Tamandua tetradactyla: one gene and its partner. The protein of the gene in region 2 interacts with the protein of the main gene of each other region in a biochemical or structural test. Links are inferred from orthologs where the notes say so. Each region holds a gene or a part of one and is shown on either strand. Other genes may lie near its edges.

Region 1 (7,929 bases), on a different chromosome or scaffold from region 2:
TGAAGCCCCCTCCTCCAGCGATGACAGAGACTCATTCCGAAGTGGGTTGTACTTGGGCTTAGGGGGCAAGAGATCCATGGCTGGGGTGCGAAGGGGGCTGCTGCCCAGCCCGGCCCCCCTGCCAGTCAGGGCAAGGGGGCCAGGCAAGGGGCATCCCAGGCCCTTAGCCTGGTGAGACCGCTATGGTCTAAGAGTCCCAGGAGTCCTGGAGGGAGAGGGATAGGCGGCTTTTGCTCCCCCAGCTCAGACCCAGACAGTTTCAGGGCCCATCCCCGCCCAACGTGGAGCCTCTCTTCTGGCGAGAAGAGAACAGGCTGGACCCAGAGCTGCCTGGCTCCTCCCCAGGGGCGGGAGCAAAGAGGAGAGACCAATCGCGAGGACAGTGCTGACTCACAGGCTCAGAGGGGCTGAGCCCCCACCGCAGCCCCGACTTAGAACCCTTGCAGGAGTAGAGATATCTAAGCCCCTTCTCCCGACCCCACCAGAGAGGAGTAAAGTGCGGGTTGTGGGCTAAAGGGAAAGATGGAGAAGTGGGAAGGAAAGGAGGGAAATGAGAGCATGTCTGGATCAGTCCAAACAGGACATGGGCAGGCCAGGGGGTGCAGGAAGCCAGGATGGGAGGGTGGGGGGTAGCAATGAGAGAGGAAACAGAGGCAGCTGAGGGTGGGATCCCTGAGCTCAGCACTTCCCTTCTAGTCCTGGTTGAATGCTCACATTCCCCCATCCTCCAACCCCGGCCACCTCCCCACCACTACCACACACAGTCAAGGTGGCCCCAGGGAGCCTGAGCCATTAGCTTTCTCTGCCACAACAGCTGGGGACTGGAGCTAGAAAAATGGGGAAGGGAAAGAAGTGGTCCCAGTGGATGCACAGAGGGGCCAAGAGGAAAGGCAAAACTGGTGAAGTGAAGGGGATAAAGCTGGAGGTGACAGCTGGAACAAGAGGACAGGCTAGTCGAGCCTTGTTTCCTATGCATGGCACCTACATGCCAGGCACAGTCCTGCCCCTCTTCCCACAGGCTAGTCAGCAAAGAATGCTGTCAAGGCTAAGAACTGAGAGCCAGAGCACTAACTTGAAAGTCAACTCCCTGGATCCATCAGGTGTACTCCTGTACCCCTCCTCCCCCCCACCCCCAGCAGTAACTGGGGAAGGGGCAGGGGTTCATCATAGAGCACAGTGTCCTCCACACCAGGGGACGGATGGGAGAGTGGATCAGTTTTCCAAGTGAAATGGGAGCTATGGGCCACTAAAGGACAGAAAAAGTAGAAGACAGATTTGTCTTAAAATCTACAGAAAAAAAAGGAGGCCAGAAGAAGACAGGCTGAGGCTGGACACAAGGAAGTCTCAAACCCATTCCTTCCACCCACAGCTTCTCACCACAACTGTGCTTAAGGGAGCAACAGAGTAACTTAGGAAGCCACCAAAAAACAAGAAGTAAAAGACACATACCCCCAGCTCACCTTGGAATTACCCTAACCTGAAATTTACTTCAGAGGGTAAAAAAATGATCAACAATATTAGCACTTAAAACATGTGAGACACTGTGCTAAACTCTTTCACCTCCCATTAGCCCTCATCCCAGGAGAGTTTGTCACCCCAGCCACCACTCCAGAGAAAGAATTCTATCACTCCGTCTCCTAAGACCTCAGCTCTCAGGTCTAGAGAAAATGAAGAAGGGATTCCTCAGACTCACACATTCAACACACAGTAGGATATCCTCATCTTTCAAGACAGCCATTCTGTGGCTGCCAGAGGTCGGGAGCAACCAACAGGTGTGGGCATTTGGAAGAAAAGAAAGAGGAACTTTGGCTCTAAATTTGCATAGAAAGAAAGAAAAATGCCTACTGGGAGCCCAGGTGGTTGGGTGTGGGGACGTTGTGTCTGGCTTCTCAGCCCAGCAGGGAGGAGGCAAGCTGGGAGGAAAGTAGCAGGAAATGGTGAAAGCCTCAGGAATGTTTCCAGCCGGGAAGGCTAGGCAAGCGGGACCAGGAGGAATGCCCAGACAAGAACTCCGGCTAGGGGGAGGGGAAGAGCCAGAGAAGTGGTGGGAACCGAGGAGTCCCTTAAAATAATCAACCACCACCAGGTAAACTGCTCTCAGCCCCCACTCCAAACCCGCATTCTCAGGTGACAGAAAACCCTCACTCCCGTCACACCCACACGCTGCACACCACTGAATCCACAGCCCTCCCCAGCTCGCGAAGTGCAGGTTATGACATTCAGCTCTTCCTGGGGTGGAGTCGGTCCTGGAAAGAGAAACTAAAGGAGTGGGGCTTGGCATCTACAAGCAAATCTCTGTCCTACTCTCGTACCAGACCCCAAGTCCCTCTTCAAGTCGGTCCACCACTGGAAGGGGGTGAGGGGCTGCCTCTCTTACTCCTCGGACGAAAGATGGGAACTTGTCTTCCCACTCAGTGGGGCATGAGAGAGCTCAGGAAAGCTGAGTCCAAAGCTCAGAAGACAGAAAGGGAGGGGAAATGTAAGTATTAATGTACAGCGTCTGGAATCAAAGACAAAGCCTCTGAGGTGGTGACCTGGGTCCTACAGGAATAAAGTTCCTGTGGGGGCGTGGCCCCTAAAATGCGTGCAGCAGATACTACCGAGAGCCAAGGTTTCTACACCATCAAACGCAGATTAAGGGAGAGGTGTGGCTTCTGGAGGGGTGGAGCCCCTAGAGAGGCGTGGCTTCAATTAATTCGAATAGTTCCTGGAGGGGCAGGGCTCGGCCCTTCTGGGAGATAGGTCTTTTGACAGACAGAGTTAGCGGAGAATCGTCCAGAGGAGGCGGAAGTTCAGACAGTTGAAAGGACAAACGAAGGGTTTCTAGTAGTAGGGATTGGAAGCATGTCTGGGGGTGGGACTTCCAATAAAGCTGGCGACAGGGTGGGGTCAGGAACAATAGATGGAAAACAAATCGGGGTTCGGGGAGCCCCCCCTGAAGTTGAGAGGTGGGACTTCCGGGAAGGGGGTCTTAGGGGGCGGGACTTGAAAGGGGAGACCGGAAGTGGGGTCCCGGGAGAGGGGTTCCGGGGTGGAGGTGTGGGTCACCTAAGAAGAAAAGAAGTCAAGACTCACCAGGGCCTCATGGAGTCTCCGCACCGCACCGCGGGCCGATGTGGTTCCGGATTACGCCACACTGCCTCTCTAGGTCGCCGCTCCAACTTTCTCCCCGGGCCAGGCCTCCCTGGAGAAACTTTATTGCACCTACTTCCGGCCTCACTAACCCCTGACCCTCTACCTCACTGTCTCTCCTTCGCCCCGCCCACTTTCGTAAATCAGCCAATAGCAGTGCGAGAGCGAGCACAAGCGCAGCGATAGCCAATAGGAGGCCTATTTTTGTCCCACGCTCGTTCTAGAGAAACGTAGGATACTGCGCTCCAATAAAGACTCGAGGAGAAGAAATCTAAGCCAATCAGAGGCTTGAAGGTGGAGCTGTCCCGCCTTGAGCCAAACAAGCCAATAGGAAGTGCGGGCGGTGTGTTTGAAAGCGAGGCCAAGGAGGGTGGGAGCGCGTGCTGCTGGGAGTTGTTTGGAGCTTGGCTGCGCCGGGCTGGGGGCCCTCAGTCAGAGCCATCATGTCGCACAAACAAATTTACTATTCGGACAAATACGACGACGAGGAGTTCGAGTACCGGTTAGTGCCGGCGCGGGGGCCGTAACGTGGTCGTGAGCCTTGACAAGTGAGAACACGAGGCGTTAGTAATGAGAACTGAGGCGACAGATTCGGCGCATGCGCTGGGGTTTAACGGGAGTGCTGTGAGAGCGTGGAGGGCGTGAAGCGCATGCGCAACGCGTCGGGCGCGCTCGGGAACAGATAAATTGGTTGCGAATTTGGACTCTTGAGAGGAGGCGTGGCTTAGAGTGTGTGTTTCGGTCCCTGACCTCCCAACCCCCCATCACCTTTGCAGGTTTCTGGAGTATTCTCTCAACTTTGTTGGGCAAACCGTCTAGGACCAGAATGCCTGCGGGGAGAAGTTGGCAAAAGCGGAATTGGAGGTTTTCTAGTGTCCTCAATGTGAGGAGAGGCCTGAGAGGGTCCAAATCTGGCTTATTTTGGAAGGGGGCTGCGAGGTGGAACAAATTGGCTAAGAGAAAAGGTTTAAGATGAGTCTAATAAAAACTTTAGATATTTGAAGGGCATCTGTTCAGGAAACAATTACGAGTACTTACAGGTTTCAGGTGTCCTGCTAAGATGCAAGGTTAATATAAGACGTTGTCTCTGCATTCAATGAACTTAAAATCTGTGGAAGATACACTTATATGATATGATAGAGATGTGTACAGGGTGTGGTGGGATTTATAAAACCAGCCAAGGAAATTGGTAGGTCTGGGAACGCTTCCTCGAGAAAACTGCCTGAGATGGACTCAAGGAAAAGATTAGGAAGGAGAAAGTGCCTCAGAATCAAGTTGCTGGTTAGTCGTCTACCACGGTTGGCAAAGAAGGAATCCCTGGATTGTATGCACAGTTAAGATTTGATAAATCCATAATTCTAGATTGGAAAATGAGGAAAGACAGAGGATTCTACAATTGTTAACATTCTACTAATCTGTATTAATTGTAATAATTAAGACAACTTTCTGTTTGCATATTGTCTCAATTGGAGAGTATAAAATGGAAACTTGCTTTTTGTCTTGTCTCTTCACCTGGCCTAATGCCTGGCTCTGAGTATACTTTGGAAAATTCTGTGTGTGTTGACAAATAACCATTTTCATGCTAGGTCCTTGGTAAAACAACCCCAAGCCCTTCTCGGATGCAATTAACTTTCTTTTCCTCAGCTAAACACCTCTACATCTGAACTAAACTAACTGAAACTAGATACTTATAACATCTTTGCAGGGAGAAGTCACTAGTTTCATCCTTTGGGAGATGTAACTCTTAGCTTGGCAAAGGTAATTTGGTTTAAGAGGTTTTTGTTAAATTATGTACTGAAGCCAAACTTTGTGGCAGAAGCTTGTTAGAATGTAAGCTATTTTCAGACATCTACACTAGAATTATCTCTGGGAAAAAACCTCTTACTAGCACAGAGGGAGCATTTAGTACATTTTCACTGAACATAATGAAGTCTACCCAGGTTAGCCTGGTTCAAGCTCAGAGTAATAATTTTTCTGTCATGAAAAGAGATTTTTCCCTGGCTAGGGAAGCATGGAGTTTCCCAAAAGAAGTCTCATGGCATATCCTTATTTCAGAATAAGGAAAATGATTTGGAATAGACTTTAAAAGATAAGATATTTCCATTTCACTCTTTGTGGTGGCTTTTCTACACAGCAATACATAATGGGCCTTTCTGCTCCACAAAATTGCTCTCCCTTTACCAAACCTGTTCAAAACCCAACTTAATTATTAATGTTTGTTGTGGGGCTTTCATTATGTTATGGGTAATCAATGAGAAGACTGTAAGCATGATGAAGGCAGGGACAATGTATCAGTACGTGAGACTTAAGTGCTCATCCATTTAAATTATTTATAAGGTACTTTTGTGAGGATTTACCTAACTTAGGCTGGATTCATAGCTGGCCCTAGCCCTCTATATACAATAAGGAATGTATAAACTCCTGACTTCAGAAACTGGTTTCTCTTTTCTCTCCTCTCTTGGCTTTGTTTGCAGGCACTTGTTTTAACAGACTGTTCACAGTGCTGACACAAATTCCCTGCCTTCCCTTGTTTCTCTTACAGGCATGTCATGTTGCCCAAGGACATAGCCAAGCTGGTCCCTAAAACCCATTTGATGTCTGAATCGGAATGGAGGAATCTTGGTGTTCAGCAAAGTCAGGGATGGGTCCATTATATGATCCATGAACCAGGTCAGTGGAACAGCTAAAAGCATCTGTATAGGGCTGGTACACTGAGAGAACGAAGGAATAGTAAGTGTGCTGCCCAAAGAAATGGGGGAAGGAGAGCATGATTTACTGGCTCTTTCCCCTCCATCACCTATCTAGAAAAACTAGAGTGACCAAAAATAAAAATAAGAGTAAAATATCCATGAAGTTCAGAGACAACCTGTCACTGAAGAAATCTCCTTTTAATTTTTAATTCATTCAACAGAGAATACTCTTTAAGGCCAGCTATACCCTGGTAGAGGTTATGGCCCTGTTTCATTCTCCACTAGAAAGCCGATTTTTGGATGTGTTCCAAATAAGCCAAGAAAAATATATTTGTTGATAAGACACCAGACACCCAGCTGCCAGGCAAAACTAATAAGGGACATCCCAGGGCTGTACAAACACAGCAAAAGGATTATTAACCATTCTGTACTTGGCAGAATTGCCTCTGGGTCTGCTTCTAGAGCCATATGCTTAAATCTTAATTTAGTTAAAGATCTAAGTGGGTGAAAGCTGGGAGGTGGCCATGGGACAGCATGAGATAAACTAAGTTGTGCACAGAATGGTATAAACTTGTCTCTTAAGATTTCACCCCTCTTTCAGAACCTCACATTTTACTGTTCCGGAGGCCACTACCCAAGAAGCCAAAGAAATGAAGATAGGACACGATTTTTCAACCTCAAGCTACACACAGCTGTCCTTACTTGCTAACATCTTTCTGATAATGTTGCCTTCTTGTTTCTCACTTTGATATTTAAAGGATATTCAATAGACTGCTTGAATGTGCTGGTGACTGCTTTGCCTCTTGAGCAGAGCCAACACCACCTCTACCCAGCGAGATGAGTGCTCTTTGGGCCGTAGCCTCAGCTAAGTGTGACCCCAGATGCCATGGTGGGCTCTATATCCAGCAGAACACACCTGGCAGATGGAGGGAGCATCTGAGAATAAGACCCATGGCTCAGTTACAGGGATTGTGTAAACTTGGTGTTTTGTTTTTTTCCTGCCGGGTGTTGTATGTATGGTGACTTGTGGCTTTATGTTTCAATGTATTGGAAACTTTCCATTTTATTCAGGAAGTCTGTTCCATGTTAAAACCCTTGATTAAAGAGGAAGTTTTTATAATCCAATTCTAATTGAAAGGTTTTTTTCCCCCACCACTGTCAGGGTGAGCATCACATTCAGTATCATGTTCTAATTATCTGCCGTTCAGTTAGATAATGAAGCTAGGCTCTTTGCTGATAATGAGGTTTATTTCAACATTCAGGTAATTGGTTTTTAATCTACTTGAAACAGACATGCTGTCCAACATCTACTGAAATATATTTCACTCTAACTGCTGACCTGAGGTAGTGGCTATATAGCGACAACCTCATCCCACCAAAACATGAACAAGTTGCTTCAGTCAGGACTGCCTTTAACCTAGACCCATATTTGAAGGTTATGTGAGGGTAAAGGGAGGAGGCTGCCAGCCAGAGAACACTAATGTGCTCCAATTCTTGCCCAGCATAAGGCTCAGGCGCACTGTTCGTTGGTTGGGAGTGTTTTCGATGGTTCTCAGCTTTGGCTGGGCATTAGCATTACCTGGGTAGCCTTAGAAACACTGATGCTGTGCTCCCTAGAGAGTCTGATTTAATGGGTGTGCAGTGTGGCCTGGCTATAGGGATTTCAAGCATTCAATATGCAAGTGGCTACAGCACTAAGCTTTGAAAAAACATGTGTGGACTGTAACTGTTTAGGAAAATATTTCACCAAATAATAGCTTACCCTCTATTTTAAAGATAACAGCAGTATTAAGTAAGGAAGATTATCCTCCTCCCCATTCTTTCAAACCATTTATTTCTAGAGCAGTAGTTTTTCTAGTTGATTGCAGGACCAGAAGCCTCAGTATCACTTTAAACTTGTTAGAACTGCAACTTCTTGGGCTCCACCCTAAACTTAATCAGAAATTGAGGGTTGGATACACGTAGCCCCTTCAGGTGATTCTGATGTTCACTGAAACTTAAGAACACACCAGTAGATGATTAGACCAGACCTGATATTCTTTTCATTGAAAACAAACTGTTTATTACTTGAGAAAGTATGGTCTAGAAACCTGGCTTCACTTTAGAG
Region 2 (8,013 bases):
AATGGTGGAAATTTATTATTCATGATTTTGAGTCTCAGAGAAGTTCAAGGCATCATCAAGGCAATGCTTTCTTCCAGAAGACTGGCCTTCTGTCTCTGGCTGTTGGCAATCCTTGGTCCTTGCCTTTTCTCTCACATGGTAATACCCATGGTGGCCTCCTCTGGCTTCTCCCTCCCTTCCATGATCCATTGACTTAAAGCTTCTGGGTGCTCTTTCGGCTTATTATTCTCTCTCCATGGCCATCCCTATAAGGCTTTTAGCAATAAAATTAGGACCCATCCTGAGTCAGTTGGGCCACACCTTAACTGAAGCAACCTCATCAAAAGGCCCTATAGACAATGGGTTCATTCTCATAGAAGTGGATTAAGTTTAAGAACATGTTTTTCTGTGATACATAGCTCTAAGCTACCACATGATTATTCTTCATGGGAGATCTATTTATTCTCCATCATTTACTACTTTATTCAATAATTTAATTACAACAGTATTGATTGATGGATATTTATTATATACATTGGATTATAAATCAACAATACATCTTTTTGCACCAATTGACTCATGTTTGAACATTGGCAGTTCTTTCAAGTGGGTTTTATGTCCCTTTGGGAAACCCTTCAACATTGTGTGCAAGTATGTGTGTGAGTTTGAGTATTTGAGGCTTGAACACTTTTTATTACTTCCTAGGGCTACAAGAAGCTCCAGGTTCCCATTATATATCTCCTGTCCCTGTCCTAGAATCGTCATTTTCCTAAGGGCTCCTGGCTCCTTTTATTGTATATTAGTACTAGAAACCAAGTTTTGGACACTACGTTTTTGCTTCTGTATTTATGGGAGAGATTCATCTTTAATTTTCCTTTCTTATCACATCTTTATCTTCTTTAGGGATTAAAGGCATGCTTGCCTCACAGATGAGTTAGGATTTGTTTCCTGTGTTTTTATTTTCTGGAAGAGTTTTCCATGTAATATCATAATTTCTTCCCTAAGTATTTAGTGGGATTTACCATTAATACTATGTAGGCCTTTATTATTTGGAAGACTATTAAATATTGATTGAATATTTAATAGATACAGATCCATTGAAGGCATCAAATTTTCTTTCTATAAGTTTTTGTAGCTTATGGCTTTCAAGGAATTGGTATATATTAACAATATTATCAATTTTGAGGTAGAGATGTTCGTAATGCACTTTTAAAAATATTTTTAATGTCAGTGGAATCACCAGTGATAATCCTTCTTCAATTGCTGAAATAGCTCATTTGTTTCTTCTCACATTTTCTTGTTTAGTCTGGATCTATAGATTTTATTTATCTTTACATAAAACTAGATTTTGATTTTGCTGTTTTATTTTTATTTTTTCCCATTTTCAATTTCATTGATTTCTGCTCCAATTTTATTTTCTTCAGCTTGCTTTACATAAATTGCTCTCCTTTTGTTTCATCACTTCAAGTTGAGTGGTTCTATCACTTTGCAAATAAAAACTCCTCTCTAGGGTGGTGTGACAGTGGCTCGGTGAAAGAATTCTCGCCTGCCAAACAGGAGACCTTGGTTCAATTCCTGGTGTCTTTTTCCGTATCCTCTTGCTCACTTTAGTTCTGCCACATATTCAGCAAAATATTCTCTTTATAAGGAACTTCCCTCTATGCCTGTTATTCCCAGCTCATAAAATGGCAGTTGTATCTCTCTAATTTCTCAGGGCAAAAAGCTAGACAGCATCTTTAATTTCTTCTTCTCCACCTCTTCTGACACCCATTACACAATGCATCATCAGTCTTATGACTTCATCTCCTGTATAATTCACCATGACACTCCAGTTCAACATTTCATCACATCCCCGGGGTGACTTCTTTCTGCATCTCCAAAGGCCTAGGCTGAGCTGTGAGTGCTGAGATGAGGAATGCCGAGCTGCTTAGCCGTGCTACCTTGTGATCTCTCATTTAAGCACCAGCCAATTAAGTCAAACGTCAATCATTGCAGCAGACAGGCCTCCTAGCCGACTGCAGATGTAATTAGCAATTAGGTACCATTGGCTTATGTCCGCAGCAACAAGACTAGGTATGCTCACCTGGCCAAGTTGACAACTGAATCTAACTAACACAATAGAATACCTAGCAGCAGTCAGAAGCAAAGGACTAGAAGGCCAAAGAGTCAAAAAAAAGGTTGTTTGTTTTATTTTGTTTTATAAGATGGTAGCTGTCATAGCATGTTCATATGCTGATGGAAATGATCCAGCAGACAGAAATATTGGTAATACAGGAAAAAGGGGGATAATTGCAGGAAAAACAGTCCCCAGGTTTTGGACTCCATACCTGGAGCATGTGGGGATGGGGTGACATTTGGCCTTAAAGAGAAGCAAAGAAACTTCATTGTAACAAGATGGAAGTCAGTACATAACGTGTGGATGGAGGTAAATGGGTCAGGTTGGTAATAGGAAGAAAAAGATGTTTTATTTTGATTACTTCTATTTTCAGATTAAATATGAACCAAAATCATCAGTTAAGAATGAGTGTTGGAAAACAGCAGAGAGCTTTCACCAATAAAGCCTCCTTTCCTTTCTGTATTTATTCAGTCAGGCAACATCCAACAGAGATGGCTCCTTATAGGACAGCTCTTTCCAGTGTTTATATGCTTGATGCTTAGCATGATGTCTAAATATTGAAGAATGTTTGGTGTTCTTACCCAGCTCTTGAGGAGTACGGATTGAAACAGCCCTAAAACCAAAGAATATGTCAGGCACAAGTTAGACATGATGACCTGCCAAGAGGAGATTCTTCTTCCCAGCGTCAGCCATTCGGAAATGGAAGTCAGCCCCCCAGAAAGGCGGGGGTACAAAGGGACAGCTTATAAGGGTTCAGGACAAGGACATTTCATAGGGTATGAGAACAGAGTTTTAGCAGGGTCTCATGACACGGGTTTGGGAATTTCTTATCAACATATCAGGGAAGCAGAGTTTCAATGATTTACAAGATAAAGGGTTTAGTATACCATCTGTACATTCTTTTCCTCCTCCTGAAGATAACTTCTTTCTGTCACGTAGGCAGCTACATGCAATGAGTTACTCTCAATATGGAGGGGGAGACCCGGCCCTGGGTCGCCACAGGTAGATATCAGCAAGCACAGGTTGGGATCTAGTTATGGAGGGTGGGGTAGTATTGATGATAATATCACTAAATGCAACTATTTAGTTCATCGAATACTTCTTAAAGGATCGAATCCGGTAATTAAGAGCTCTACCTGCCTTTTCTCATTAAATCCAAATCACGACCTGTTTGCAACTGTTTATTTATAAAAAGGAAATCAAGGATAGCGGAAAATTTGCCATCTGGAATTCAAATTTCAGAATCAGGGCCCTGAATACTTTACCTTGAGGTAAGGGAGTGATTCAATGAAAAGACCCTTTGGTCTGGGGGATAGTAAGTGAAGATGGAGACCCCCTAAATTCTATTAGCCCAGTTATCTCCCGAGAGTTTGATTCTGAGCAGAGGAAGCTTCCGTCTCAGCATGAAATCCTAGTCAAACATCCTGATTCCACTGTCACCAGAGCTTCTATTTCCAGTTCTATCAAACATGTTGCCAAGCTCACATAATTTTTGTCAGTGAAACATTCTCTAAGGTACTACATTTGAAGAAACAGTTTGCAAATTAAGCGGTCTAGGTATTTATATGTCAAAGGTGTCGCTGTTACCACTATTATGGCTAAGAGAGTGGTCTAGGTGGGGGTCAAAGCCCTCTATGTTGCATATCAATACCGAGCAGGTTTAAAGAATTTTTGCCGATCAGTGTTGGTATGGGGGAGTTTTCTGCATGAAGGTTTAACTGTTCTGGAATTATTGGGGAAAATTATTCGGGTGTCTCTGCGAGACCCAGGATTGAAGTGCCCCGGCTGCCCCCCAGGGGCACGGGTCGGGTCCGCTGGGGTCAGGCAGGGTCTCGGGCAGCCACCCGCCGGTCGCGCGGCGGCCTCTGACCTAGATCTGGGAGGGTGCCAAGGGTCCAAGTGATTCGTGGACCCGAATCACACAGTCTCTAGTGCCCTCTGTTCGTGCTCCTTCATCGCCAACCCCCTCCTTTCCAACGAGAGCACGCACTTGGAAAGCTCCGGGGAGGGTGTGCGGGAGCGCCTAGGGAGGGGACTGTGTGCCGACCTGAGTCCCAAGAAGATCCGTCGGGAACTGGGGCCGCCCCGACGGCGCGGTCAGACTCCAGGGTGGAAGGGGAGGCAGCTGTTCTCCCAGGCGGCCGTGGGGGGCAGCAGAGCGGACGGCGACAGGTGCGGAAGCCCCTCCCGGGGTGGAAATGCAAAGGCGGGCTCCAGGGTCTGTTCCCAGGCTGGAAACCACCCCCGCCCCCCAACCAAATCCCCCGGAGAGGCCCGGCCGGCGCCGGGTCTGGAGGAGGAAGCGGCCGGAGACAGTGCAATTTCACGCAGCCTCTGGGGCTCGGGTTCCTGGGCAGAGTGGATGAGTTATGGGGTATCGAGCCCGGGGAAACTGAGGTGGCCGCACATGAGGCAAAGAACGCCCTCTCCCTTCGAAAAACACACACAGAGGGAAATATTCACATTCAGGGAGAAAATCCCCAGGTGATCCAACCGGCTGGGGGAGTTGAGCGATCTGGTTAATGGGCGAGGCCAGATTTCAGAGGGCCGGGCTTTGGAGCGCTCTCCCCACCCCCATTACATTTTCCAGGATTTGGGGGGCATTTGGACTCTCAGTCTCCTCTTAGCCCAGCTCGCGAATGAAAAGTAGGATGGGAACTTCTTAGCCTGCTTGACTAAGAAGAGGGAGTCCCCAGGTTGCGGGGCACTGGGGCGCGGGGCGCTCTTGGGGCGGGCGGTCGAAGGCTCCCGCAAACCCTACTCCCGCCCCGCGCGGGAGGAGGCGCGGCCGTGACTCACCCCCTCCTCCCTGTGCGCCCTCCCTCCCACTCTTATAGACACACACACCCCTTCCCTCCCATCCGCCCCGGACTCCGGCTCCAGTTGCAATTTGCAACTTCTGCTGCCGCCGCCACTAATTCGCTGGCGGCTCAGGTGGCTCCCGCTTCGATGTCCTAGTCCAGGGGCCCTCGGGCCGGACTCGGTTGAGCTTCCCTCACTCTCCACCGGAGTCATGAGGGCCAGCGCGCCTCTGCAGGTGCTGGGCTTCTTCCTTAGCCTGGCCCGGGGCTCAGAGGTGGGCAACTCGCAGGCAGGTAAGCGGCGCCGGAGCCTTTGCAGGCTCTGGAGCTGGTGCCCCAACCGAGAGCGTGGAGCCCCTCAGGGCAGGGGCAGGGTCTCAGGCGGTGCGAGACTGGGGATGTTGGCCCCAGGTTTGCGGGGACCACCTGGGAGGCGATGGCCAAGCTCAGAGGTTAGGGTTCTCGGCGTCCGCCGGGCGGGGACGGGATTCGTGGACCAGCCCCCTACTAGCGCGTCGCCGACCCTCTAATTCGTCCCTGGTGATAGGGGCAGTACCCACGTAGTAGTTTACATTTCTGAGGGACTCTACGGGGGCAGGAGCGGGGACCTCCGTCCTGTAAGCGCCAGGAGATGGTTGGAGATGGGGACCTGCTCCCCAGCCCCTTCCCCCTGAGTTTCAGCCACCTCCAGTTTCGTTGTTTTGCCGACAGGGCGGAGCTGCGGTAGGTTTGGGGTGTGGGGTGGGGGTGGTTGTTGTTCTCTGGTGTTGGAAAAACAGGAGCGGCACCTCCTCTTCCGTGAGTTGGCCTGCCCTGGGGGGGGGGGGGTGCTGAGTTAACGAGAGGGCCAAGTCCAGGTGACATCAGGGTGAGAGGCCCAGCAGAGGCTGCCTGCCCGCTTTCCCTCAAAACAACAAAGCTGGCTGGTCTCCGCCTTGACCAACTTCTCTTTGTCAATACCCAGGTTAATTCAATATTTATTGAGCATCTACTATACACAAGGCCCTTGGCAAGAAGCTACAGAGGCAGGACTTCCAGACTCTGTTTCTCCTATTTGTCTTTTTTACCCCCAACCTAAGATCCAAGAGGACACTTCTACCACCTCCTGAGGCTCCTGTTCTGGGAGTCCTTCCCAGGCCCCACTCCTTACCCCTATTCTGTTTATTTGTGTTGAAGAGACAGAGTCTCAGATTGCTCTCTATTCCTCTCTGGACTCCCATGACATCTGAGCCCCTTTTAGGTGTCTCTGAGACCACAGATACCTGAGGGGTGCTGGAACTGGAGAAGTCCTATTGATCTCCCTTCCCCCAAGTTTCCAGCTTGGTATTTGGCAGAGCCAGGGCCCCTTCCCCAGGGTGGGAGTGGGAGAAACACCTGTGCTTCACCCACAGTTGCTGGGCCTAAATTTAGACCCTGGGATCTTGAGATTTGAACACTCCCAGCTGGTGAAGGGCGGGGGTCTGGGGATTGGAGTACGAGGAAGTAGTAAATTGACTGTATCTCTGTCCTCGGAATCTTAAACGGAACCCTGGAGTCCGAGATTCTGGCCTCTGTCTCTAGGGGAGGCAGGAGGCAGGCATGGTTGGGTCTTTTTACCCTTTATCTGGATTCTGCAGCCTCTGGGCATCCGGCCCTGTCTCAGTCCTTCTATAGCCCCTTTGTCCCTGCTGGTTGTGATGGGGGTGGGGGTTGAGGAGGGGTTGGAGATTCTTGCTGTGTCCCTCCCCCAGAGCTTTCTACCAAAGGAGGGCCTGTGACACTGCCCCTCCCCATGCCCCTGGCCTCTGGCTACAGTCCAAGGTTTTACTAACTCCAGTCCCTCTGCCCTCTCCTCAGGCTGCCTAGTTCGTCCCCAGAGGTGTTATTTATACTCTCTCCCCACCTAGGCCCTTTGCTCCCTGTTTGTGTAATATGGACTTTACCCTCAGAATGGTGGAGGACTAGAGATGTATCTCTAATACTGTAGCCTTCCAAGCATAGACACAAAGTCTTCACAAACTCATATGGGCAGGTGGGATGGATGGGGACACCTAAATACTTCCCATGGGGACACCTAAATAGTTCCTAATCAGGAAGACCCCATAGAGAGCCCTGGGCCAGCAGAGGAGGTTTGCACACGTGTGTGTGTGTGTGTGTGTGTGTGTGTGCACGCATGCATACATATGCCACTTCCTTGTGTAGAAATCTTGGCTCCTCCCTTATCTGGGGAGAAGGATTGGCGCCTTGACTTGGAAGAGGGGGTGTCCTGCCAGGAAAGGGATCGGGGTGGAGCTGTTCTAGAAATGACTAACCTTCATAGTCTTTTTCATTTCACCCAAAGGACCCTGGAGTCCCCATGCTTCTCTGGGAGTTCCTGACCTGTTTACCTCTTTGTTGGGTCTAGCTCACCCCTGCGCTTGGTGGGTAGTGTTAGGAAAGGGAAGCCCTCAAAGGTCAAGTGGTCAGACTTGGGGTGGATCTAGGGAGAGGGACTTAAGCCTCAGCCATCTCTCCCCCCACCCCCACTCCTGCCTCCCACTAAGCTGGCACTGCCTCAGGGAAGGGTGGTTGGAACAGGTGGTATCTACCTTCCCCCCCACCCCACGCACAGTCTTTCACTGAGTCAGAGGAAATAGACAGGGGTAGGGGTAGACCAAGAGTTCCAGAGCCCCTGTATCTCCCACATAGATAAGGTAAAGTGGACCCCAAGATGACATGCTTCATGTCCCTCTCCCCTAATGCAGGTAAGGATTGCCCTGTTGGAAGGCCTGGCCTCTTAATGAAACCCTTCTAACAATGAAATTGGGTAGAGGGCTTGGCGGTTCTGCTGCTGCTTCCCTTCTGGCTTCTCTGCATTTGCTGAAACTAGAAAGTATCAGGCAGAGGGAGCTGAAATGTGTTGGAATAAGGGAAAGGAGCGAGAAGGGAAGCCAGGGTTTGGGAATAGGATGGGGAGAGGGGTAGGCAACCAGCCCCTTATCTTCCTGCTTTAAAGACAAAGCTGCTATTGACACGCCCCCCTCCGTTCCGCCAAAGTCCCCTCCCCCCACCAGTGAGGTCATTTGTCTGAACCCAAGACTTGAGGGGCCGGGTGCTACGAGAGGAGTCTGGGGACAGGGTGGGGCAGCCCCCCTCCTC

What was found. The genes of interacting proteins can lie anywhere in the genome.
Region 1: the proteins of ERBB3 (region 2) and SHC1 form a complex in vitro, tested with the Homo sapiens proteins (2 studies listed by BioGRID and IntAct, with this or other methods). The link is inferred for Tamandua tetradactyla from reciprocal best matches to the Homo sapiens genes ERBB3 and SHC1.

Annotation. Positions count from the first base shown.
Region 1 is NC_135330.1:7,961,584-7,969,512, forward strand, and holds the start of SHC1 (SHC-transforming protein 1), read right to left. Parts: upstream 3,024-7,929; 5' UTR 2,282-3,023; coding exon 1,694-2,281; intron 1,681-1,693; exon of another isoform or gene 79-1,680; coding exon of another isoform or gene 1-78. Other genes in the region: CKS1B (cyclin-dependent kinases regulatory subunit 1), read left to right, coding at 3,576-3,634, 5,675-5,802, 6,424-6,476. UniProt on the Homo sapiens protein: Signaling adapter that couples activated growth factor receptors to signaling pathways. Participates in a signaling cascade initiated by activated KIT and KITLG/SCF.
Region 2 is NC_135333.1:123,144,217-123,152,229, forward strand, and holds the start of ERBB3 (receptor tyrosine-protein kinase erbB-3), read left to right. Parts: upstream 1-4,955; 5' UTR 4,956-5,108; coding exon 5,109-5,190; intron 5,191-8,013. UniProt on the Homo sapiens protein: Tyrosine-protein kinase that plays an essential role as cell surface receptor for neuregulins.